7 linked regions of the Callithrix jacchus genome follow. The protein of the gene in region 6 purifies or fractionates together with the protein of the main gene of each other region. This does not show direct contact. Links are inferred from orthologs where the notes say so. Each region holds a gene or a part of one and is shown on either strand. Other genes may lie near its edges. The genes, in order: POLR3G, POLR1E, CRCP, POLR3H, POLR1F, POLR1C and POLR3C.

What was found.
Region 1: the proteins of POLR1C (region 6) and POLR3G purify together in Homo sapiens (affinity purification with mass spectrometry; 4 studies listed by BioGRID and IntAct, counting the BioPlex papers as one, with this or other methods). This does not show direct contact. The link is inferred for Callithrix jacchus from reciprocal best matches to the Homo sapiens genes POLR1C and POLR3G.
Region 2: the proteins of POLR1C (region 6) and POLR1E purify together in Homo sapiens (affinity purification with mass spectrometry; 5 studies listed by BioGRID and IntAct, counting the BioPlex papers as one, with this or other methods). This does not show direct contact. The link is inferred for Callithrix jacchus from reciprocal best matches to the Homo sapiens genes POLR1C and POLR1E.
Region 3: the proteins of POLR1C (region 6) and CRCP purify together in Homo sapiens (affinity purification with mass spectrometry; 5 studies listed by BioGRID and IntAct, counting the BioPlex papers as one, with this or other methods). This does not show direct contact. The link is inferred for Callithrix jacchus from reciprocal best matches to the Homo sapiens genes POLR1C and CRCP.
Region 4: the proteins of POLR1C (region 6) and POLR3H purify together in Homo sapiens (affinity purification with mass spectrometry; 5 studies listed by BioGRID and IntAct, counting the BioPlex papers as one, with this or other methods). This does not show direct contact. The link is inferred for Callithrix jacchus from reciprocal best matches to the Homo sapiens genes POLR1C and POLR3H.
Region 5: the proteins of POLR1C (region 6) and POLR1F purify together in Homo sapiens (affinity purification with mass spectrometry; 3 studies listed by BioGRID and IntAct, counting the BioPlex papers as one, with this or other methods). This does not show direct contact. The link is inferred for Callithrix jacchus from reciprocal best matches to the Homo sapiens genes POLR1C and POLR1F.
Region 7: the proteins of POLR1C (region 6) and POLR3C purify together in Homo sapiens (affinity purification with mass spectrometry; 5 studies listed by BioGRID and IntAct, counting the BioPlex papers as one, with this or other methods). This does not show direct contact. The link is inferred for Callithrix jacchus from reciprocal best matches to the Homo sapiens genes POLR1C and POLR3C.

The regions. Positions count from the first base shown.
Region 1 is NC_133503.1:120,288,173-120,292,228, reverse strand, and holds the start of POLR3G (DNA-directed RNA polymerase III subunit RPC7), read left to right. Parts: upstream 1-1,256; 5' UTR 1,257-1,406; intron 1,407-4,056. Other genes in the region: acyl-coenzyme A thioesterase MBLAC2, read right to left, coding at 219-672. UniProt on the Homo sapiens protein: DNA-dependent RNA polymerase catalyzes the transcription of DNA into RNA using the four ribonucleoside triphosphates as substrates.
Region 2 is NC_133502.1:144,473,317-144,476,816, forward strand, and holds part of POLR1E (DNA-directed RNA polymerase I subunit RPA49), read left to right. Parts: intron 1-1,171; coding exon 1,172-1,253; intron 1,254-2,032; coding exon 2,033-2,164; intron 2,165-3,373; coding exon 3,374-3,500. UniProt on the Homo sapiens protein: Component of RNA polymerase I (Pol I), a DNA-dependent RNA polymerase which synthesizes ribosomal RNA precursors using the four ribonucleoside triphosphates as substrates.
Region 3 is NC_133503.1:3,241,050-3,245,344, forward strand, and holds the start of CRCP (DNA-directed RNA polymerase III subunit RPC9), read right to left. Parts: upstream 2,801-4,295; 5' UTR 2,684-2,800; coding exon 2,676-2,683; intron 1-2,675. UniProt on the Homo sapiens protein: DNA-dependent RNA polymerase catalyzes the transcription of DNA into RNA using the four ribonucleoside triphosphates as substrates.
Region 4 is NC_133502.1:192,353,688-192,357,885, reverse strand, and holds the start of POLR3H (DNA-directed RNA polymerase III subunit RPC8), read left to right. Parts: upstream 1-1,398; 5' UTR 1,399-1,461; coding exon of another isoform or gene 1,462-1,464; intron 1,465-4,198.
Region 5 is NC_133512.1:38,572,753-38,574,975, forward strand, and holds part of POLR1F (DNA-directed RNA polymerase I subunit RPA43), read left to right. Parts: coding exon 1-139; 3' UTR 140-2,223. UniProt on the Homo sapiens protein: Component of RNA polymerase I (Pol I), a DNA-dependent RNA polymerase which synthesizes ribosomal RNA precursors using the four ribonucleoside triphosphates as substrates.
Region 6 is NC_133505.1:51,998,660-52,002,741, reverse strand, and holds the start of POLR1C (DNA-directed RNA polymerases I and III subunit RPAC1), read right to left. Parts: upstream 2,801-4,082; 5' UTR 2,778-2,800; coding exon 2,709-2,777; intron 2,582-2,708; coding exon 2,510-2,581; intron 570-2,509; coding exon 462-569; intron 187-461; coding exon 54-186; intron 1-53. Other genes in the region: protein YIPF3, read left to right, coding at 3,083-3,163, 3,797-4,006. UniProt on the Homo sapiens protein: DNA-dependent RNA polymerase catalyzes the transcription of DNA into RNA using the four ribonucleoside triphosphates as substrates.
Region 7 is NC_133519.1:8,270,425-8,272,822, reverse strand, and holds part of POLR3C (DNA-directed RNA polymerase III subunit RPC3), read right to left. Parts: intron 2,260-2,398; coding exon 2,109-2,259; intron 1,013-2,108; coding exon 911-1,012; intron 792-910; coding exon 742-791; intron 1-741. UniProt on the Homo sapiens protein: DNA-dependent RNA polymerase catalyzes the transcription of DNA into RNA using the four ribonucleoside triphosphates as substrates.

The sequences.
Region 1 (4,056 bases), on a different chromosome or scaffold from region 6:
CTACAGGGTGCCAGAGCTGATCTCTGGCAGGGAAGTCTGTGAAGGCCTTGGCGCTGGTCAAGTGGGTTTTTAACTCAGGGAACGGGGAAACAAGTGGTTCTAGGAGGTGCCAAAATAAATCCCCTTATCGCCACGCAGGTCTCCAACATGCGGCACTCGGACAGTCTCTTCCCAACACCCTCCCTTAACGAGAGCGCGCGCCCGAGGGGGCCCATTACCATCCTGCAGGATGAGGCTGGGCTGCACCGCCTGTACCCGGAACTGTCTGGCCCTCCAGCCGGGGCTGGGCGCCCGCACCACCTCGCTATCGGAGAGCCAGGTCACAGTCTCAAAGTTGTCCCCGCGAGCCAGAGCCTCAGCCTCGGCGTGGTGCACGGCCACCCGGTCGAACTGGTAGAGGCCGCCGGAGTGGTCGAAGTGCACGTGGGTGGCCACGGCAAGCAGCGGCCGGTGCGCCGCATCCTCTTTGGCCCCGCGGTCCTGCAAGAGGCCGGAGGAGTACAGGTACTCCGGGAGGCTGCGCAGCCCCAGGCCTGTATCAATCACCACGTCCTGCTCGGAGCCGCGCACCAGCCAGATGTTGGCGCGGTTGCCTGACTCATAGAAGCGTTCTTGAATCCAGAAGATACCATCGCCTAGAGACTTGTGGGCGTACCACTCGAGAGCCGACATGCTGGGCAGGGGTGCAGCCAGGCAGGATGAGTGTGGGCGTGCGTGCCTCCCACAGGCTGGCTGTCCAGACACCAGGCGCTGCGGCTGTGTGGAGCGTTCTGCTGCAGCCAGAGAGGAGGCGCAGAGCGAGGCGGGGGCGGGGAATGCGGGGGTAGGAATAGGAGGAGGAAGGAAGGACGCAGACCCACGCTACCTGGAGCGTGCGCTCCCGCACCCTCCCGCCAGGTCGGCAGCCAGTAAAGGCTGCGCCACCTGCACCGAGGCACAGGAGCTACCGCAGCCTGTACAGCTGCAGCTCGAGGGAGATTTAACGCAGGGGCCACTGCAGCAGAATGGAGACTCAGGAGGCGACTATTTCCCCACCCCAGGAGTGTGGCAGCAGAGACCCGGAGCGAGCAGGGGAAGCGCTAGGACCGCCCACCCACCAGCTTTCCGCGGTGCGCACTCCCAGCTGGCGCGGAAAGTGAGGGGCCTAACGGGTTGTCCGGTGACTACGGCGACTGCCAAGGCCAAAAAAGCTCTGTGCCGAGGGGATGGGGCCTGCCTAGGGAGTGGGCGGGGCTAGTTGGTAGAGCTCACCCTGCAGTTCTGGGACCGCCGGGAGGGCGGTGCGCGCTTCTCCCGAGGTGGAACCCGCGGCGCTGGAACGCCGGCGTCCTCTGCCAGCACCCCTTCCTTGCCGGCCGGCACTTCGACTGCAGAGTTTTGCCCACGCTTCGAGACTTAGGGAGCAGGTAACCGAGGAAGCAATCGAAGACTTGGGAGGGGTGGTGAGGATAGAGGAAAGTTAAAGGGACACGTGGAGAAGGTAGGGGGAAGTCGGGGTTAGAGATTATTAAAGCGCCTCTGGGTTGAGGGGCGTTTGGAGATGGCTTGGTACCTCCCCTGGTGCTGCTCCCTTCAGAATCTTTTTTAAGTCGAATTTCCAGATTTTACTTAGTCTCCGCTTCTGGGACTGTTTACAGTGAGTTAGAAGGGTAGTCTCTTACTTACAGTAGGTGATTTTCAGAATCCGGTGACTTGATGATTTGTTTAGGCACTAGTCATTGCCGCAGATTGAAGCTGAGGACCGACTATTCAGCATCTATTTTCGTAACTGTTGGCACTTTTATATCGTAGGGATGGGAGCTGTTAATATGGTTTGTCTTTTCTTCTAAAAAATAAAATTCTATATCCACTCTCTTTTTTTTTTCTTTTTTTGGTTAGTCTGCCCTTGGAGGAGGGTAAAGAAAGTTGGTAGTGAAGTTCAACCAAGGAAAGAGGGAGAACCTGGTGAGGACGGGAAAAGTGAATAATGACTGGGTGTGGCCCCGCCAGCCACGTAAATCACCCGCACTGTTAACATCAGGTCACTGCATCCATTCCCCACACTTCCCAGCTATTGAAGCAGCTATTTAGGTTTTGGGTTTTTTTTGTTTTTTTGGTGAGACAGTCTCACTCTGTCGCCCAGGCTGGAGTTCAGTGGAACCTCCGTCTCCTGGGTTCAAGCGATTCTCTTGCCTCCGCCTGCCAAGTAGCTGAGATTACACGCGCCTGCCACTGCATCCGGCTAATCTTGTATTTTTAGTAGGAATGGGTTTCACTCTGTTTGCCAGGCCGGTCTTGAACTCCTGACCTCAAGCGATCCGCCCGCCTCGGCCTCCCAAAGTGCTGGGATTACAGGCGTGAGCCACTACACTGGCCTGAAGCATCTATTTAAGCTTCAGAAATTCCCTTGAGAACTTGACTAACCTCCCTACTTCGGAAATATGGTAAAGAGACTCATGAGACAGCATTAGAGAAAAGGATTATGAAAACCTTTACTGTGACAACTACTAGTAAGCCTTCATGGAAGGAGAGGCATACTCTCCTTCCCTACCCTCCTAAAGTTTCATGAACAAAATTGTGTCAAAAGGTCATAATCTGGATTCTCAGGAGTTTGAAGGAAGGTAATGTCTGTACACAATTACTTGCAAGATAAAGCATTGCAGGGTATGTGCCACAGAGGAAGTAAAAACTAGACTCAATGAGAATACAGATGGAAGGGATTCTTGAGGAGAGGCATTTGAGCCGGCCTTAAAAGACTACTTTTAGGGCATTCTCAGCAGAGTAGTAGGGCTCTTTGTAGTTGGGGTACTTTTTCTCTAGGCAGAAGAGAACCACTAGTGGTGAAAAGGAGTGATATCTCTACCAGGCCGTGAGCTCAGCAATAATATACCCAATAATGACTGGACTTTTGCCAGGCTTTGGTTAGCAATGGGGACATAAAAAGGTGAATAAGTTTCCAAGGAGACCTTCACACATCCAGGTCCCTCTGCCTGTATCACACGTCTCCCTGGATGTCCTTTTCTAATTCTCTCCATGGCTCTTTGCTTTACTTTTGTCAGGCTTGTGTTCAAATATCACGGAATGAGAGAGGACTTCTTCAGCCGTCCTCTTTACAATAGCATCCATGTTTCCTGTCTTTATTTTTCTTCTTATCACTTCCTGACATTACCTATAAAATATATTTTGTCAATTTCTTACCCTAGACTATGAGCTCTATGGGAGGAGAGATTTTGTTTTGCTCACTACTGTATTCCCAATTCATAGAGGGCAGCCTGATGCTGAGGGTGCTTAATAAATACTTGATTGGATTGAAGAGCCTCCCTGGGGAGATAGATAAGATCTGATAGTTAAAACATGATTGTAAAAGGGCCTAAGAGCAGTGTAGTACTTGGGAAACAGAGAGAAGGGAGGGGCCTACCTCCTTGTAGGGTGGAAGAGATTGTCATGGAGAAAGTGTCATTTGCATGGCATCTTAAAAGAACCTGGGGCTTAGGAGGATGTGGCAGGAAGGGCACTCCAGGCATGCAATGGTTGATGTGGCCATAGCGTGGGATGCATGTGGTGAGAGGCAGAAAGATTCCAAAGCTCTGTTATTTATGCTAAGTCATGTGCCACTAATTGTATTCCAGAAACATACTCTAGACTGCAGAGTGGATTGAAAGGGAGAGTCTGGCCACAGGAAGTTTATTTGTTATGTTGTAGAGGTCCAGGTGAGAGATGAGAGGGTCTGAACTGAAGCAGAGGTGGACGAAAGGGAACATGGGAGAGAGAACAGAGTTGGTAACTAACCCTCTACTATTAGATGAGGGGTTGGAAGTAGACAGGTTAGGATACCTATCCTGATTATAGCAATTTAGGGGTCATTCATCAGGAATAACACTGTGACCTGACTTTCACTACCTCTAGCTTCTATGTCTGCCTCTATTTGTTTCTGCATTTATTCATGGAGCTGTTGTTGTTACTGGTGGAAGGTGTCCAGGTTCTTGGCATCTTTAGCAAAGAATTGGACAAAGCCCAGAAAGCAAAGAAAGAATGAAGCAACAAAAGCAGATATTTACTGGAAATGAAAGTACACTC
Region 2 (3,500 bases), on a different chromosome or scaffold from region 6:
CAAGCAGTTTTCCTGCCCCCATCTCCCAAGTAGCTAGGATTACAGGTGGGCACCACCACACCCAGCTAATTTTTGTTTTTTTTAGTAGAGATGAGATTTCTCCATGTTGGCCATGTTGTTCTTGACCTCCTGACCTCAGGTGATCCACCTGCCTCGGCCTCCCACAGTGCTGGCTGGGATTACAGGTGTGAGCTACCGCGCCCAGTCTGTATTTGCTTAGTTCTTTTTTTTTGAGATGGAGTCTCACTCTATTGCCCAGGCTGGAGTACAGTGTCACAATCTCAGCTCACGGCAACCTCCGTCTCCCGAGTTCAAGCGATTCTCCTGCCTCAGCCTCCTAAGTAGCTGGGATTACAGGTACACACCACATTACCTGGCTAATTTTTGTATTTTTAGTAGAGGTGGGGTTTCACTGTATTGTCCAGGCTGGTCTCAAACTCCTGATCTCAGGTGATCTGTCCACCTTGGCCTCCCAAAGTGCTGGGATTACAGGTGTGAGCCACCTCGACCAGCCACTTAGTTCTTATTTTCACATTCCAATTCCACCTTTCCCTCTCTGTCTCTCTGAGCTTTCAGCACAATTTTGTTTTCTAACGTCATGTTAAATCTGCGTCCTACTGGGACGCCTGTGGCTCACGCCTATAATCACAGCACTTTGGGAGGCTGAGGTGGGTGGATCACCTGAGGTCAGGAGTTCCAAACCAGCCTGACCAACAAGGAGAAACCCCATCTTGACTAAAAATACAAAATTAGCCAAGTGTGGTGGGGTATGCCTGTAATCCTAGCTACTTGGGAGGCTGAGGCAGGAGAACTGCTTGAAGCCAGGAGGCAGAGGTTGCAGTGAGCTGAGATTGTGCCATTGCACTCCCTCCTGGGCAACAAGAGCAAAAATACGTCTCAAAAAAAAATTCTGTGTCCTTAGGCCTCGGGCTGTGGTTTCTTGTTACTGGCCCCTCACCAGCATCACTCTTGCAGGGAGGTCTGCCAGCAGAAGTGCACCGAGCGTGTCTGCATTTTGCCATGGCTGTTCTGCTTTGTGGGTCCTGCTTCTCTTACCACCTGGTTCTGGTCATTACAGTGGCCCAGCTGTTGGCCTTTTCTCTCAGCTCATGGTTGAGGTGTGGCCTGAGAGTTTTAAGAGAAAATGATAAAACTTAACTTTGTGTTGTAGATTCCCTGGGACCTGACATTCCCCACATCATCAACACCAAACTGCTGAAGCACTTTACCTGCTTGACGTACAACAATGGCAGGTCAGGGGGTGGTTTCTGGGATTTTTCCTGTGCAAGGGAAAGCAGGTAGGGGGAGTGAGGAGCGGGGGCTTGGACTCAATTTCATGTCCACAGATATGCAGTGCTAAAGAGATTGCTGCCATTTGGAAGTCTCCTGGGGCCCCAGAAAGTTCAGCAAACGCTAAATATTACTCTGTCCTTTTTGGAAAAGTATTGTCTTTTGGGAATCTTAGAAGCTCTGGGAAGTCCTACAATAGAGACTTGTTTTACGTCACATACTTCTTTTGAGGAGCCCTTCGTGATGTCCCACAGAGCTGGTGTTCTTCGCAAAGGCAACGTTGCATGAAAGGGCAGGCCAACTTGGGGACTTTGGGGAAAGACCCACAAGCAATGCCCGTGGGCTTTCCTTCCTGCCATCTGCATGGAATGTGTTTCCTGCTCCTGGGTGTGCTTTGAAGAATCAGCACAGTTGATTTGGGAATGAATGTTTTCCCAGCAACCCTGCTATGCAGGCGGGGACAGACTCAGAGGGCCCTCACCAGCTCGAAGTGCTAGTGGTACCCAGGGAGTGTGTAGGCCCAGCTTTCTCTCTCCCTCTCAGAGGGAAATGTGGACTGGCACACTGCTCCACTGTGTATGAGGCCCAGGAACCTTGGGAGGGCAAACAAGCCATCTACATTCCTTTTCCTTTCCTTTAGTTCCTGAGTGCATATGGGAATACGCTTGGATGTTCTTATTTTGCTTTTGGAGAAATTGTCTTAGACTTTAATTTTGTTTCTTCATTGCCATTGATATTCTAGATTACGGAACTTAATTTCGGATTCTATGAAGGCGAAGATTACTGCATATGTGATCATACTTGCCTTGCACATAAATGACTTCCAAATTGACCTGACAATGTTACAGAGGGACCTGAAGCTCAGTGAGAAAAGGTGAGCACAACAGAATAAAGAGCTCCCTGCAGGGCACCTTGATGTCTTACTTCTGGTACCACTGGAAAGCATGAGGCGCCACTAAGGGAACTGAGGATTTTTAAATGTAGGAACAACTTGGAACTAGAGGTCTATTTTCAATGAATCAATAATTGACTGAATGAGCAACTAGACATTACTGAGTGCCTTCTCTTTGCAAGGCACAGTCTTAAATTGTCATTATCTCATTGATTTCCCTAGAAAACAATTGAAGAATCAGGTTTAGAAAAGTACATGACTTTCTCAAAGTTATACAACCAAGAGGGGAGCAGTTGGACTTCAGACCTGAGCCTTTCCATAACATTCTGTTCCTGAATAACCAAGCAGCCTCCATTCTCTGAATTTCTGTTACTGGGGAGAGGGATTTTGTATGGTTCTGAGGATGCAGCCAAGGATGGAAGTTGTAGGAGAACCCAACTGCCACTTAGTAAGAAGAGCTTCCTCAGAATCAGATGGAAGGGCTTGCCCAGGGGAGGTGTTCAAGGACAGGTGGAACCTTGAACCACTGTTTGGCAGGGATGTCATATTTGCATTTTTCTGACCCGACTGGGAGAGCTGGTGGTGGGGATGACCTTTCAGGCTCCCTCTAACCTTGTAGAGGAGATTCAGACAGTAGGGGCAGAGCTGCCTGGGAACCTAAACCGTGGGGTCAGCTGATCTTTGTCAGTGATATAGGGGCATGTGATATCCAGGGACCCAGATGGTGTCTAGGAGATCCAGTGAACACACCTCCGTCTGGACTCTCCTAGCAGTCCATGGAGGGACTGTTCTGAGAGCTGTCCACAGACCGTGTTCCCACAGGCCCTGGGGCTGAAAAAAGAGAACAGGTACTTGGAACCCATCAGATTCTAGCAAGTGCTCAATGCTGATTGCTAAAAATTTGGTTATGGGTGGTAAAGAAAGTTGTCCATAGGGCTCTAAGATAGTCTGGTTTTTCATCACCCACATGGATCTTTCGAAGGGCGGCACATTAAAATGAAATTGTCTATCTGAGGGCTTTCAGTGGGTGAGGGGACCTTGCCTGTCCCTCTGCCTGGGGCTTTGCTCCTGCTGGCAACCTTTGGGATTCTGTCTTTATGGCCTGGAGCATGAATGTGCTGCTACCTTTTGCCATACCTCCCTGAACAGTCACATTGAGGAGTCTCTCCCATTGTTCTGTGTCTTCCTTAGGATGATGGAGATAGCCAAAGCCATGAGGCTGAAGATCTCCAAAAGAAGGGTGTCTGTGGCTGCCGGTGATGAAGAAGATCACAAACTGGGCACCCTGTCCCTCCCACTGCCTCCCGCCCAGACCTCA
Region 3 (4,295 bases), on a different chromosome or scaffold from region 6:
GACTGAGACTCTATCCCAAAAAATAAAAATAAAAATAAAAACCAATAAAGAGAACAGGGTGAGGATGAGGAGGAAAGTATACCAGACAGAGGGTCCTGCATCGCAACAGTCCTCAGCAAGTGCTTAGGAGGCTCCTGTCAGTGGAAAGTGAGTGTTTGGGAGGTTGGGAGACTGGAAAGTGATAAGGCTGGAGAGTAGGTGGGGTCTTATAGGGTGCTGCAGGTCCTGGTAAGAGATGCAAATTTCCTCTAAGTACAATGGAAAGCCAATGAAGGGTTTTACACAGGGTGACATGTTCCAATCATTACTTAAGATCACTCCAGTTGCCACGTGGAAAACAGAATGGAGGCTGGGGAAGAGTGAACACCCAAACGCTACGGCTTAATCCAGCCCAGAGGTGACGGACTACGAACCTAACAGTGGAGAGGCTGAAAAGTAACTGCATTCAAAATATATTCTAAGGCAGGGCCGGGCGCGGTGGCTCACGCCTGTAATCCCAGCACTCTGGGAGGCCGAAGCACAATGTTAGGAGTTTGAAACTAGCCTGTTCTTGTGATACAGAAAGAGAAAAAAGAAACAAAAACAAACAAATAAAAGAAACCAGTCTGGCCACCATACTGAAACCCTGTCTCTGCTAAAAATACAAAAAATCAGCCGGGTGTGGTAGTGTGCACCTGGGAGACTGAGGCAGGAGAATCCCGTGAACTCAGAAGACGGAGGTTACAGTGAGCCGAGATCACGCCTTTGCACTCCAGCCCACGCAAGAGTGCAAGACTCCGTCTCAACAAATAAATAAATAAAAGACAGAGCCTTGCTCCCTTACCTCAGCAGGAGTGCAGTGGCTAGATTTCAGCTCATTGCAGCCACCTGGCCTCAAGCAATTCTCCCATCTCAGCCTTCTAAGTAGCTGAGACTATAGGCATGCACCACCACACACAGCTAACTTTTTAATTTTTTGTAGAGACAGGGTCTCTCTATGTTGCCCAGGCTGGCCTCCACCTCCCAAGCACAAGTGATCCCACCGCCTAACCCTCCCAAAGTGCTGGGATTACTAGTATGAGCCACCACGCTTGGCCCCATTCATTTTAATAAAAAATAGACAATATTGAGAGTGTACTCCATACACTATTGTTTCATGAGTCTTTCAGTTACACAGTCAAAAAAAATTGGAAGGGGCCAGGTAAGGTGGCTCATGCCTGTAATCCCAGAACTTTGGGAGTCCAAGGCAGGAGGGTCACTTGAGCTCAGGAGCTGGAAACCAGCCTGGGCAACAAAGTGAGACCCTGTGTCTACAAAAACTTTAAAAAAAAAATTAGCTGTGAGTGATGGCGTGGGTCTGTCGTCCCAGCTACTGGAGAGGCTGAGGCAGGATTGCTTGAGTCCAGAAGGTCGAGGCTGCAGTGAACCATGATTACGCCACTGTACTCCTGCCAGGGGGAAAGAGCAAGACCCTGTTTCTTAAGAAAAAACAAAATTAAGGCCGGGAGCGGTGGCTCAAGCCTGTAATCCCAGCACTTTGGGAGGCCGAGGAGGGTGGATCACGAGGTCAAGAGATCGAGACCATTCTGGTCAATATGGTGAAACCCCGTCTCTACTAAAAATACAAAAAATTAGCTGGGCATGGTGGTGCGTGCCTGTAATCCCAGCTACTCAGGAGGCTGAGGCAGGAGAATTGCCTGAATCCAGAAGGCGGACGTTGCGGTGAGCCGAGATCGCGCCGTTGCACACCAGCCTGGGTAACAAGAGCGAAACTCCGTCTCAAAAAAAAAAAAAAGAAAAGAAAAAGAAAAAACGAAATTAATTAAAAACGTAAAAATCTGAACTGCCATAGTACATATAACTTTTAAACATGAGGCAAAAGAACCTAAAGGAAACTGTATCAAAAAATCAGTTCACAGAGAACACAAGATAGGTAATACCTACAAGTTAGTATCAACCATATAAAACCCAGATTCAGAGTAGATGCAAAAAAACTTCGTTTGCACCAAGTGCAACGAGCAAGCATGGAAAAGACCACGTGAGGTCAAATTGTCAGAAAACCTTTTACCCTCGCGCGCACACACACCCGCACACACACCCGCACACCCCGTGCTGTCTCTCGGGTCCCAGTCCTGGCTCATATCCTTCCCCACTCCCCGCAAAAACCCGCCCCTTCCGTCACAGGGTTGACTGCTCCCACCAAACTCTGAGAGCCGCTCTTCCGAGTGAGGGCTCCCCAAGAGCCCGGGGCTGCAAGCAGAGCTCTACTCTACCCCGCCCCGATTCGTCTCTCCTCCAGCCACTCTCAGGGCGGACAGACAGGCCTTCACAGCCTTCTAAGTCCGGGGTCCGACAGCCCCGGACTCGGGCTCCACCCCCGCACTGTGACCCAGGAACGCTGGTAAATGAATGAGAGGAGGAGGAGGCGCATTGGAAGGCAGCGGGATCCGGAGGTGCTCGGCCTCGCATCCCAGACGCAGGCTGTGGGGGGGAAGGGAAGGTTGGGAAGGGCAGAGCGAGAGCCCCGTTCGTCCCCGTTTGTCCTCGTTCGTCCCCGTTCCCACGCGCGCGGCCCTCCCGGACAGGGCCGCCCTCGGCCCTCACTCCCGTAGGAGGGGTCGCCCAGTACCCGCGGCTCTCGGCGGTCCAACCGTTGGGCTCCCCGGCCCAAAAGAGACTCGTCCCGGGAGACTTACACTTCCATGACGTCCCGCCTCGTCGCCCCCAGGCTACCAGCGGACAAGGAACCGCACACCCCACAGCTGCCGCCGCCGCCACCGCCCGCGCCAAACAGCCAGCTCCGCGCCCCGCGGTGCACGCCGGGATCGCCGCGGTGCACGCCGGGATCGCCGCGGTGCACGCCGGGAGCTTGGCGGACCCGGAACCTCTCGCTGCCCAGTCCGTTTTCTCAGGGGGCCGGGGGAGGGTCGCTGTGTCCTTAGCCCAGGACTTCGCTTCAGGCTGCTAAGAACTTGCGGGCAGGACTATCCGGTGTTTTCTTTTTTTTTGAGTCGGAGTCTCGCTCTGTCGCCCAGGCTGGAGTGCAGTGGCCCGATCGCGACTCACTGCAACCTCCGCTTCCCGGGTTCAAGCTATTTTCCTGCCTCGGCCTCCCCAGTAGCTGAGACTACAGGCGCCCGCCACCACGCCCGGCTAATTTTTGTATTTTTAGTAGAGACGGGGCTTTCACCATGTTGTCCAGGCTGGTCTCGAACTCGTGACCTCAGGTGATCCACACTCTCCTTGGCTTCCCAAAGTGCTGGGGTTGTTACAGGCATGCGCCGTCGCGCCGTCTATCTCATGTTTTCGTGGTCTAGGTTTTCTTTTTTCTTTTTTTTTTTTTTTTTTTTTTGAGATGGAGTTTCGCTCTTATTACCCAGTCTGGAGTGCAATGGCACGATCTCAGCTCACCGCAACCTCCGCCTCCTGGGTTCAGGCAATTCTCCTGCCTCAGCCTCCTGAGTAGCTGGGGTTACAGGCACGCGCCACCATGCCCAGCTAATTTTTTAATTTTTTTAGTAGAGACGGGGTTTCACCATGTTGACCAGGATGGTCTCGATCTCTTGACCTTGTGATCCACCCACCTCGGCCTCCCAAAGTGCTGGGATTATAGGCTTGAGCCACCGCCCGGCCTGGTCTAGGTTTTAACAAAGTAATTAATCAGCTAAAGTTCCGAGACGTGATGGGGTTACTAGGTCTTTGCATGTTAAAATCCCACCCCTCAGAGAGTAGTGAGGCTGGTGGCGTCTGGGGTGCCAGAAGCGTTGTAGTTTATTTATTTATTTTTGGTAGAGATTGGAGTCTAGCTATGTTGCCCAGACTGGCCTTGAACGCCTGGCCTCAACTGATCCTCCACCTCCACCTCCCAAAGTGCTGGGATTACAGGCATGAGCCACTGCAACAGCTCTGTTCCCTTTTTTGTATATAATAAGTGTGTTAGGTAATCCTTATAAAGAGCCTGGCACTTTATTAATTACTGTGGCAGTACAATGGAATGAAGTAGATTCCATTATTATTCATGCCTTATAAGTGAGGAAACTGAGACAGTCTTGGAGAGATTATGATTTGCCAAAAGTCACTCATCTAGGAACTTGTCCGGTGGGTATTGAACCCAAGGCAATCTGAACAAATATAAGAGGTGCATTAACTAGTGACTAATAATTGGAGGAATAAAATGTTCTACATTTGTACAATGGAAAACTACTTAATAAAAAGGAGGCCAGGCTTGGTCCCAACACTTGGGGAGGCAGAGACAGGAGAACTTCTTGGAACCAGGAGTTCCAGATCAGCCTGGGCAACATTGCCAGACTCCCTCT
Region 4 (4,198 bases), on a different chromosome or scaffold from region 6:
GGCCCCCTTCTCCTCTTTAGCCATGGGAAGCCTCCCATGGAGCTGTAGGAGCTGGAAATGGCATTTCTTTTGCGGCAGGGGCTTATCCTGCAAGGCTGGGATCTCTGGTCATATCCGCCTTCTGACCTCTGGGCATGGAGGTCTGTCTGCAGAGGCACGGGCCCGGGCACTAAGGGCAAGGGGTCTCCATTATCCTGTAAGGGCCTAAATGCAGACTGTGCATCCCTGGTCCCCTCGGGGCCCCTACAGTCCTAGATGGCCTTGGCTTCACCCCGCAGTGCATTATTAATGCACCGGAGCGCTGCCTCCTTCTCCAGGTCCAGGTCTTCAGCAGTGACCAGGAACCCCAGCTCTAAGGGAGGTGGCAGCATCAGAGGTTCCCCTCACCTCCGTGGCAGCAGAGGAAACTTTCTTCTACAAGGCCTAGACTCCTGATATGTGGGGGAGCCATTCCTGGGGGCCAGTTTCTCCCCTGGTGGTGCATCTGCTGCCTTTTCACCCTGGGTATGAATGACAGCCTGAGAGACAGCCTGAGAGTTGTCCTCACTCACTGTCTTTGAGGAACTGAGGGTCACATGGCAGTGGGATGAGGCTGGCCCTCTCCTCCTCTTTAGCCACGGGAAGCCTCCTGTGCAGCTGTAGGAGCTGGAAATGGCATTTCTTTTGTGGCAGGGGCTCATCCTGCAAGGCTGGGATCTCTGTTCATGTCTGACATCTGACCTCTGGGCATGGAGGTCTCTCTGCAGAGGCCTGGGCCTGGGCACTAAGGGCAAGGGGTCTCCATTATCCCGTACAGGCCTAAATGCAGACCATGCATCCCTGGTGCCCTCGGGACCCCTTTTTTTCACCATCCAGACTCTCTTGGACTCTGGGGTCCTTGTCCTGATCAGGCATCACTGCCTCACTCTACCTGTGGGCTCTCAACACGATCTCCTCTGGACAGGAGTCTGGGCCTCAGCTGGGTGTTGTAGGCCCCAAAGGGGTGACTCCCTGCTTCTGGGACCCACAGAGAGTTTTTGTGTGGAATTGGAAGCTTGCTGTGGTACCTGTGCATCCAAATTGAAGGCAGAGGCAGAATCACTGGAAAACCTTCTTGAAGTTGTTTTGACACAGCAAGGAGGAGATCCCACAAGCAAGGTGAACGGAGGGATGGGGAGAGCGGGCTCAAGGCAACTGAGCCCTACTGGCAGGCCCTCGGCACTCAGGCCGGGACAGGGATAAGGGGCACAGAGTGCCCAGCTAGCCCCTTCTAGGAGCAGTGGGGAACTTTCAGATGCTTGAACTCTCGAGAGCTGGGCTCTGAGCGTCGTCTTCTAGCTGCCAACTCGGCTAAAGACTAAGCTAGCAGTTTCTCCTGTTGCCGGGCAACGCATCTTTCAAACCTGCGCGAGTGGGGGCGCGTGCAAAAACAGGCGCAAGTGAAAGATCCACGCCAGGACGACCTTCAGGGACTCGCGCGACATGGTATGCACGCCAGGCACCTGCGGACAATGCGGTGGGGGGAGTGGTGCAAACCTTTCGCGAGAGGCACGTGCTGGCAATGGTGGGGCGGGGGGAGGAGGGGGGTGTGTGTGCAAGGTATGTGCATGAGGCACCTGCGGGCAATGACGGGAGTCAGGGCCCTGGGGGGTAGAGGGGTGCGCACCATAGGTACTAAAAGGAGAGGCGCGCACACAAAGGACTCCGGACCTGAAAGGATTGGTGTGGCAAGGTACGCGCTCAAGGTACCTGCTGGCAATGGCGGGAGGGGGAAAGGGCCTCGCGGCACAATAGGTACTGGAGGGAGAGACGCGCGCACTAAGGACTTGGGACCTTAATGGATTGGCGCTGCAAGGTACGTGCACAAGGCACCTGCTGGCAACTGCAGGATTGGGGGCGAGGTGGTGGGGTGGGGGGGGCAGCGCGCGCAATAGGTACCGGAGGAGAGGCGAGCACAAAAGACCCGGAACCTCAACGAACTAGCGTGGCAAGACACGTTCACAAGGCATCTGCTGGCAACGGCGGGAAATTGATGGGGCTGGGGCGGGGCGCGATATAAGTACTGGAGGGAGAGGCACGCGCACAAAGCACGCGAGACATTAACGGCTCGGTGCGGCAACGTATGCGCACAAGGCACCTGCTGGCAACGGCGGGGAGGGGTCAAGGTGTGCGCGAGAGGCGCCTGCTGTTAATGGCAGCGGAGGGGCAATGTATGAGCACAAGGCACGTGCTGGCAATGGCGGCGGAGGGGGCAATGTATGGGCTCAAGGCACCTGCTGGCAATGGCGACAGAGGGGGCAACGTATGCGCACAAGGCGCCTGCTGGCAATGGCGGCGGAGGGGGCAATGTATGCGCACAAGGCGCCTGCTGGCAATAGCGGCGGAGGGGGCAATGTATGGGCACAAGGCACCTGCTGTTAATGGGGGGATGGGTCAAGGTGTGTGCGCGTGGCGCCTGCTGACAATGGCGGCGAAGGGGGCAACGTATGGGCACAAGGTACCTGCTGGCAGTGGCGGCGGAGGGGGCAATGTATGGGCACAAGGTGCCTGCTGGCAATGGCGACGGAGGGGTCAAGGTGTGCACGTGAAGCGCCTGCTGACAACTGAGAGATTGGTGGCGCGGTGGTTGGGTGGGGGGGCATAGCGTGCAATAGGTACTGGAGGTGAGGGGAGCACAAAAGACCCGGAACCTTAACGAACTGGCGTGGGAAGACACGCGCACAAGGCACCTGCTGACAACCGCGGAAAAATGGGCCGGGGCGGGGCGCGCGAAATAGGTACTGGAGGGAGAGTCACGCGCACAAACACGCGACACATTAACGGATCGGTGCGGCAAGGTATGCGCACAAGGCACCTGCTGGCAATGGCGGGGAGGGGTCAAGGTGTGCGCCAGAGGCCCCTGTAATGCGTGAGCCGAGCCTTTTTTTTCTTCCCTGGAAGCAGAGTTTTACTCTCTCACCCAGGCTGGAGTGCAATGGTGCAATCTCGTTCACTGAAACCTCTGCCTCCCAGGCTCAAGCGATTCTGCCTCAGCCTTTTGAGTAGCTGGGATTACAGGACTATGCTATCATGCCCAGTTAATTTTGTATTTCTAGTAGAGACGGGGTTTCACCATGTTTGCCAGGCTGATTTCAAACTCCTAAGTGATCTGCTTTGGCCTCCCAAAGTGCTGGTATTACAGACATCAGCCACCACGCCTGGACTGTCCTAGCCTCACAAAGTTTTCCTTCGCTGTCCTCAGTTTAATGTCATGGCGGGGCACAGCCTGGTCGTCATGATTAAGGACTCTGGGGCCTAGGTCCCGGGTTTGCCACTTACTGGCTATATGACCTTGAATGACCTATTTAACCTCTCTTTGCCCTAGATGAGGCAAAATGAGACAATGAGGTAAGTGAGATAATGATAATAGCTCCTACTGTATACAGCTGTTCTGAGGATAAAACTTAATGCATGTAAAGCACGTAAGTAGTACTCCACATATAGTAAGTGCTCATGAATGTTAGCTGTTAATATCATAATCATAAGGCCCCCTGATCTGGACGCTGCTTAGGTCTCTAATCTCTTAGCTTACCAGTTCTCATCTCCCATGTAAATCAGCCCGAATATTATTATTATTTATTTTAGAGACAGAGTCTTTCTCTGTCACTCAGGCTGGAAGGCAGTGGCAGGATCAAAGCTCACTGAAGCCTTGAATTCCTGAGCTCAAGCAATCCTCCCACCTAAGCCTCCCAAGTAGCGAGGACTACAGGCAATCATGCCCAGCTAATTTTTTTTTTTTTTTTTTTTTTAGTAGAGACAGTGTTTCATTTTGTTTCTGAGGCTGGTCTCAAACTGATCTTAAGCAATCCCCCTGCCTCAGTCTCCCAAAGTGTTGGGATTACAGGCATGAGCCAGTGTGCCTGGCTCCAAATACTTTTGATTATTTAAGAGTACAAACTCTCTTTCTCTCAATGCCCACCCCCCTGCCCCCAACTCCAGCACCAAGCGCTCTGAGCTGAAGTTTTTCTTCTCCATTGCATTTCCAACAGCTGGACACAACAGCATATTGAATGAATGCATGAATGAATAAGAACAGCATCACATTTGGGTTCCATTTTAGGCCATTCTCACATTGCTATAAGGAAATACTTGGGCTGGGCATGGTGGCTCATGCCTGTAATCCCAGCACTTTGGGAGGCTGAGGCAGGCAGATCACCTGAGGTCAGGAATTCGAGACCAG
Region 5 (2,223 bases), on a different chromosome or scaffold from region 6:
GGACCCTAGTTTCCAAGGCAGTGACTCCAGTGGTTACCAAAGTGACCATAAAAAGAAAAAAAAGAAAAGAAAACACAGTGAAGAGGCTGAATTTACCCCACCTTTGAAATGCTCACCAAAAAAAAAAAAGGAAAAGTAATTTTCTTTAGAGTATTTTAAATATGATTCAGTTTCTAAACGACAGATATACGTGACAATTGAATAAATGTTTTGAGTGATATGAAATGCTTAAGCATACCAGTAGTTTACAAAAGAGAAAATAAGTTGGAGACAGCTCGATGTGCTTAAAATGATAAAACTGACTGTACATTGATTTGGGGAAAGCCAGTATTGTTAGTGCCATTGTATACAAAATAAAAAGCTGCTCTTACTGTCAACTCTCATATTCTTCCAGGTTTTGCACTCTACATTGAATTATTTCTACAGTATCTACAGTCTCAAGACCAGCAAGAAGAGTGTGTAATACTATATTATATTACTAAAGAATGAGTTAGAGTTTTTATTTAATTGTGTCTATGTGTTTAATAGGTTTCACCTTATTACATGCTGTTTTATATTGCTTTTTTTAAAACTCAGGACATTAACTAGTTTTAGGTTTTCCTTTACCATTGCTTCTACAGTATTTCTATTGTTTAACATAAAATGGTTTGCCAAAGAAGTTTCTGAAGTCTTCACAGCTCTTAAAAGCCATGCCAGTACTGACTGCCTGGTGGTGTATGCTGTTCATTATTCTTTTCTTCCAGGTGCATGTGTATTCTTGTTTTCTTTTTTAAATCTGAGAGGTTGATGGAAAGGACTGTCTTCTTGTACTTGTTCATTTGTGCCTCAGCCATTCTAATTTTGTTGTGTGTTGGAGTAGACTCTAATGAAGACAGGATAAATGTGATTCTGACTAGTGGGAAATTTCAGATTACTTTGTGTGTGTGTGTGTGTGTGTGTGTGTGTGTGTGTGTACTTTAAGTTCTGAGATACTTGTACAGAACGTGCAGGTTTGTTCCATAGGCGTATGTGCCATAGAGGTTTGCTGCAGCCATCAGCCCATCATCTACATTAGATATTTCTCCTAATGCGATCCCTCCCCTATCACCCCTGACAGGCCCCAGTGCATGATGTTTCCCCTCCCTGTGTCCATGTGTTCTCATTGTTCAACTCCCACTTATGAGTGAGAATATATGGTATTTGGTTTTCTGTTCTTGTGTTAGTTTGCTGAACATGGTGCTTTCTAGCTTAATCCATGTCCCTGCAAAGGACTTGAACTCATCCCTTTTTATGGCTGCATAGTATTCCATGGTGTATATGTGCCACATTTTATTTATCCAGTCTATCATTGATGGGCATTTGAGTTGGTTCCAAGTCTTTGCTATTGTTAACAGTGCTGCAGTAAACATATGTCTGTATGTGTCTTTTTAGCAGAATGATTTATAATTTTTTTGGTATATACCCAGTAATGGGATTGCTGGGTCAAATGGTATTTCTATTTCTAGATCCTTGAGGAATCACCACATTGTCTTCCACAATGGTTGAACGAATTTACACTCTCACCAACATGGTTCTTATTTTTCCACATCCTCTCCAGCATCTTGTTTCCTGACTTTTTAATGATCGCTATTCTAACTGGCATGAAATGATATCTTATTGTGGTTTTGATTTACATTTCTCTAACAACCAGTGATGAGCTTTTTTTGATGTTTGTTGGCTGCATAAATATCTTCATTTGATAAGTGTCTTTTCATATCCTTTGCCTACTTTTTAATGGGGTTGTTTTTTCTTGTAAATTTGTTTAAGTTTGTTATCGATTCTGGATATTAGCCCTTTGTCAAATGGATAGATTGCAAAAGTTTTCTCCATTTGTAGGTTGCCTGTTCATTCTGATGATAGTTTCTTTTGCTGTGGAGAAGCTGTTTAGTTTAATTAGGTCCCATTTGTTGGCTGTAATATATTGTGCTGAAGAGAAAACAGTTGTTTTGTTCACTGCTTTCATTGAGAAAACATGGAATGTCTCTTGACTAACTGACAAAGAGTAATGAAATGACAAGCTGGTTGAAGCTGATAATCAATGCATGGCCATATTTATTCATTTTCCACACACTTGACCATCTACTTTGTACAACACATTCTTACACTGCCCAGGGATATAATGGTAAACAAGTTAGATGTATGTCATGTACACACATCTTGTGTGGCATGTCACAAGAGAACAGTTGTGCATGTACACACAATAAG
Region 6 (4,082 bases):
AACCAGGATTTAAACCCAGACAGTCCACTTCTCCCAAAATTTCATTTTCTCACCTTGGTTCCGATACTCAAAAAGACGGGGGTCAGCATGAATGGGAATGAGCCCCAGACGGTGAGCAAGGATCTCATCCTGAACAATAGATGTGTTGTTGTACACCAGGACCTTCTCCACAGCCATAGTTGGCACCTGCCCAAGGAAAAAATCACTTATCAGCAAAAACCCAATAGACCCCCTACCTATCCCCACAAACTCCAACCTCCAGAGGTAGGGAGCTATCTCTCTTCCTAGAATGTTTAATGAGAAGTTTACAAAGAATGAGAAGGTAAAATCCTTAGCCAGCAAAACTCCAGGAAAAATAAGAAGGGAAGGACAGCTTGAGACACTTAATTCTCCAAGTGACACTCCAAGTGTCAGTGCAGTTCCCAAAGCAAATCCAACCTTGTCACCATGCCTGCCAATACCTCAGCTAACAGAATTCGTCGAAAAGCATTGGCAATGGATGCATCAATTCCCACCATGTCAAACTCCAGTGAGTTTTCATCCATGTGTACCACATCCACACGGAAATTCTAGAGGGACAGGAAAAAGATTAAGTGAAGCCTGCTCTCTTTGTAATAGCTCTTCATACCTCCCCCTCAGATGATTCCAAGTATTATCCACTCATCCAAAAACCACCCTTTGCCCAGACGTCCCTTATTAAATGTTCTTTCTCGTCCAGTGCTTGCTTTAGGTTCATGAAAAGTGTCCATTTTTTGTCTTCCATTCATTAAAACCCTATCCAATATGGCTCCCAACCAAACCATCCACAGAAGCTATTGTCCTAAGAACAGAAACCCACCTCACTGCTTAGTCATGCTGACACTAGACAGTCCTTTTACTAGACGTCTGTTACGCCTGGCATTGATTAAAAAAATCCCCTCCTGGAAAGGCGCAATGGCTCATGCCTGTAATCCCAGCATTTTGGAAGGCCAAGGTGGTTGGATCACGAGGTCAGGAGTTCGAGACTGGCATGGTGAAACCTCATCTTTACTAGAAATACAAAAAACTAGCCGGCCATGGTGGTGTGCACCTGTAATACCAGCTACTCAGGAGGCTGAGACAGGAGAGCTGCCTGAATCCAAGAGGCAGAGGTTGCAGTGAGCTGATATCCTGCCACTGCACTCCAGCCTGAGCAACAGAGACTCCATCTCAAAAAAAAAAAAAAAAAATCCCCTCCTTTTTTGAACTATTCTCCTGGCTTCTGAGCTCCATTCTTCCTTCTCTGATGATCAACAACGTCCACCCATCTCTAAATCTACCAGGTTCTGGTCTCTCTCCCAGGTGACCTTAACCACACTAACAACGGTTTTAGCAACTATCTGTGCTGACACCTCCCAAAATTTTACCTCCCTTCTGATCTCATTTCAAATATGCAGTCTTCTAGCCTGCTAGATTTCTCCAAATGCAGGAAACGACGTATCATCATTCCTCTTCCCCAGACCCATTTCTTCTCTCAGTAAATGATACCACAATGCATCAAAGCAGTTCCCAAGTCAAAAAGTCATTTTATGCTACCCCAACAGCCTTTACCAAAGCAATCACAAATTTACCTTCTTTCTTCCTTTGCTCTCTTTCTACCGTCAGTCTTAGTTCATACCTTCAACCTCAGCTTCCCTTACAACAGATCTGCCTGCTCCATACGATCCTCTTCAAACTCATTCCCTCCCAGCTATCAGGGTTGCAAATCTAATCATGTCTGCTTAACTATTCAAGCTCCCTATCATCAACAGTGCCCAAGACACACTTCAATCTTGCCTACCACTAGTGCCAGAACTGCTTGGACATTCCCGGAGCACAATTCACACCATAACTTTTTTTCAAGCATTAGCCTTTTTCATTGTTCATACTTTATTCCTGTATCAACAGGTTAAAAAAAGTAAAATTTTCCCAAGCACAGATTTATAGATCATGTTTTATAAACTGCACACACAGTTCAGTTGCATAAACAGTAACATTCAGTGATCTATTTAAATGCAATTTTAATCCTTATTTTAAGCTAAGTGAAACAATAATAGACTAAATACACACAAAACCTGTATATCCTCAACTTCACTGACCTGAAACTCAAAGCCTTCCTAATTTAACTCCTGTTCTTTACTTACCGTTCAAAGCTCAATTCAGATCTTCCCTCCTCAAGAAATGTTAAGTACCTCTGGGCCCCTCTTCCTGGTCTCAGCATAATGTTCCCCACACGAATCCTGCCATCTTCACAGCTATCAACCACCTTTACCATATTAAACTAGATTCACTTGTTTATACGCACCATTCCTCAACAAGACTGAACATCTTGTTTGCAGAACTGGGTAGAAACTGTGTCTAACTTGGCCTGTAAACGGAGGTCTACCACATTGCTCAACAAAACTTACAAACGGAGCGACCCCCAAGAGCAGCTACTGAGACAGACACATGCTGCTGAGACCACAGGGTCTGGCCCTCCTAACAATCCCCGGACAACTCTGGCCCCACTGACCTTCTCGAAGCGTTCCTGGTCCCAGGCATCATCATAACCGGAATAGTTACCGGGAAAGTCAGTGGTATGGACCTAGAGCAAAGGGATGAGTTTGTCCACAAATGGACAGTGAGCCTACGGCTATCCCCACGCCAATCCCAAGACCCATCCCTGTTCCGCTCTCATTCCTCCCGCCTGAGCTCAAGGACACAAGTCTTACATTGCGAACCCCAAACTCTCCTAGAACCACGCGGCTCCGCATTTCTTCCACGGCCTGAGTAGCCGCCATGTTCAATCTCTCCAAAAGACTACAGGCTCTAGCTGGCGCGTGCGTTCTAGCAGCACTGCTCCATCTCCGTGGCAACGCACCGCCTCCTGGAATCTTAAATATCGCGAGACTTTGCTCCACCTTCATCCACGTCCCCAATTTCCGGAAGTTGGTTTTGTCCAAACATCCGGGTTTCTCCTTTTTGTGTTCCGGCTGATCCCACCTCTCCGCGACCTGGGACCTCTCCCTTCTTGGGACTCACATCTCGCACACTTCCCTGCGCGCGGGGCTATCGCGGGCTTCAGCGACGGGAGCCCTCAAAGGGCATGGCAACTACAGCGGCGCCGACGGGCGGCGCCCGAAACGGAGCTGGCCCGGAATGGGGAGGGTTCGAAGAAAACATCCAGGTAATGGCCCCAAGGCACCAGATGCCAGCAACCCGAGGGCCGGCGATGTCCAGAAGTGTCTTGGGGATTCTCCCTCGGGGCCTGGAAGTTCACTCCATTTGCAAAACTGCCTTCTTTGGGTCTTGCACACAAAAGTCAGTGGAGTTAACATTGACCTGAAAGGGCCAGACTAGTCTACTACTCCAGCCTGAGGATCTCGGGTCTCTGGGCCCGCCCGAGGCGTTAGGAAGAACGTATTCTTGGAACAAGTTAGGAGGTTGGTTGGGGTCAGGCCTGGAGTGGGGTTGGGTGGGATTCACTGGCACTCGCCGAAAACATACTGTGTTCATAGTTTTGTTTGGGGCTTTGGAAAGACAGAAATGGATTCTTTTTCAAGCTTTTAGTCTTTGATAGGTAAGGTAGGAGAAAGACATGAATGGAAGACTAGTTGGTTTCCCAGGCTAGAAAAGATAGCCAAAGCTATAAATCAAGCGTTCTGAGAGCAAATGAGGGGGAATGGAGTGGCATGATCTGTAGTGATTCCAAGCCGTATCCTCAGCAGTGGAAGAACAAAGCCCTAAGCCCTGGGATGAGCAGAGGACTTAATGGATGGAACAGAAAAGTCCTGCACTCTAGGAGCCATTGTCTTAACAGGGCGGAGGCTCAGCTGTGATTGACATGGAGAACATGGATGATACCTCAGGCTCTAGCTTCGAGGATATGGGTGAACTGCATCAGCGCCTGCGCGAGGAAGAAGTAGACGCTGATGCAGACGCTGATGCGGCTGCTGCTGAAGAAGAGGATGGAGAGTTCCTGGGCATGAAGGGCTTTAAGGGACAGCTGAGCCGGCAGGTGGCTGATCAGGTAAGCAAGATGGAATCCCCTGCAGGTGGAAAAGTAAACCTAGGTGTGTCCCATGTCCTGGAGTTGGTATTGGTGT
Region 7 (2,398 bases), on a different chromosome or scaffold from region 6:
AACACAACTCTGAGACATGTTTCCTAACCTTGGAGATTCTCTTAGCATTTATCTCTGAGGCACAACCCATCACTCTTTTACCATTTTCCTGGTCAAAGTAGATGTCACCTTCTAAGGACATTTTCTAGAAACTTATTTGGAAATATAACTTCACTCGTGAAACTCTTACTGCCTCTCATTTGCACTTAAAGTTTGGTGCTTCTGTACATTTCTCATAAATTTAATCTGAAAAAACTATTTCATTGGGAGCGTATTAGAAAAGTGTAGCCTATGCATGATTTATACTAATCTAAGCCAGTGATTCAATGCAAGGACACTGGTTGCTATCTCCATTGTTTCCTATTCCTCAGAATTTTTTTTTTTTTTTTGAGATGGAGTCACACTCTGTCACCCAGGCTGGAGTGCAGTGGCATGGAGTGGCTCACTGCAACCTCCACTCACTGAGTTTAAGCAATTCTCCTGCCTCAGACTCCAGAGTAGCTGGGACTACAGGGGCCCATGACCATGCCCAGCTAATTTTTGTATTCTTAGTAGAGATAGGATTTCACCATGTTGGCCGGGCTGGTCTTGAACTCCTGACCTCAAGTGATCCATCTGCCTCAGCCTCCCAAAGTGCTGGGATTACAGGCATGAGCCACTGCACCTGGCCCAGCCTTCATTGGTTCCTGTTTCTATAGGAAATTTCCCCTCAGGCCGTTGACCTTAAAAAATGTAAATAACTCAACTGAAAATGTTACTTACTTGTTCTCTTTGGTTTCAAATTGCCTCCTTTCTATCAAGTTGGCTATGCTCTGAGGAAAGAGAAGACAGACAAGAAATGCACATAGTTCAATTTCAGCAGCTCAGGTAAAATGGGTGAAATGGGCATATGAGGGGGACTTGTCCATGTGGAGGCAGCAGACTGGGTTACCTTGTAGCACCTGTGCAGCAACATTCGGGCAGCTGACAGGATGTTCACAGTATATAAATAGAAGGTCCTGGATGGGGCATGGTCTGGTGTTTTGGGAATTTCCTATTTGTCCAATAGAAAAAAAAAGTAACAAATTATATTGTTTTGGAACTGGCAAGGTAAACACTCATTCCATCTGGACTTACTCAACTCTCTTTTTCACTTACATTTTCATGTTTCCTAGTCATTCAGTACCTGTGTTTATTTATTTACTTTGAGACTGGGTCTTGCTGTTACCCAGGATGGAATGTGGCAGTGCGATCTTGGCTCACTGCAACTTCTACCTGGGACTCAAGCAATCCTCCCACCTCAGTATCCTGAGCAGCTGTAACTACAGGCATGCGCCACCATGCTCAACTAATTTTTTAATTTTTTTGGCGGGGGAGGAGACATGGTCTCACTATATTACCCAGGCTGGTCTTGAATTCCTGGGCTTAAGTGATCTTCCTGCCTTGGCTTCCCAAAGTGCTGGGATTACAGGTGTGCCCAGCCCAGTCTCTGTGGTTTATGTCGTAATTAATTAAACGGAGAGCTGGGCTTCCCTGTTTTTCTTTTTTTCCCATTTGACTGTCAGCATCCTGAATGGAGAAGAAAGGGAAGGTAACTAATATTTACTGAAAAATCTGTGTACCAGGTAAATTCTATATGATCTTTACAAAAAACCTTTTTTTTTTTTTTTTTTTTTAATACAGAGTCTTGCTTTATTGCCCAGGCTGGCGTGCAGTGGCACAATCTCAGCTCACTGCGACCTCTGCCTCTTGGGTTCAAGAGATTCTCCTTCCTGCCTCAGCCTCCCAAGCATCTGGGATTATAGGCACGTGACACCACCCCCAGCTAATTGTTTTGTATTTTAGTAGAGACAGGGTTTTACCATGTAGGCCAGGCTGGTCTCGAACTCCTGACATCAAGTGATCTGCCCGGCTCGGCCTCCCAAAGTGCTGGGATTCTAGGCGTGAGCCATTGTGCCCAGCTGCCTCTTTCTTACTAGGGCAATTAAGGCTCCACATCTTCCTCTAAGTGCTTGCTACATCTCTGTGAATCATGTTTTCTGTCTCAGAGCTGGATATAGAGTTTGCTTGGGATTCAGTATGTTTGCCGGAGAAGCTTCTCTCACCCTAGGCTAGCCTGTCTGGTTGGCAGTTGTTACACCCTTGGTTACCTGGAGTGATATAAAATTTTCTGAGAGCATCTTATATAGCATATCCTTTGCCTCCTTTGCAGGAATCATTGCAAAGTCTTCCACTTGCTTCTGCTCCAGGTGTTTCTTCTGCAAAACTAGACGGAATATTCTAGCACAGCGAGACCCAAATCTGGAAAAGAATGAAGAAAGCAAATGGCATGCCAACACAGGAGAGTAGCTTTAGTTCCCAGTCATAGATGGGGCGGTGTTCTATCCCATGTGTGGAACCAGGACCAGAGAGGAACAGTAATAAGAAAACTCTTCCACAG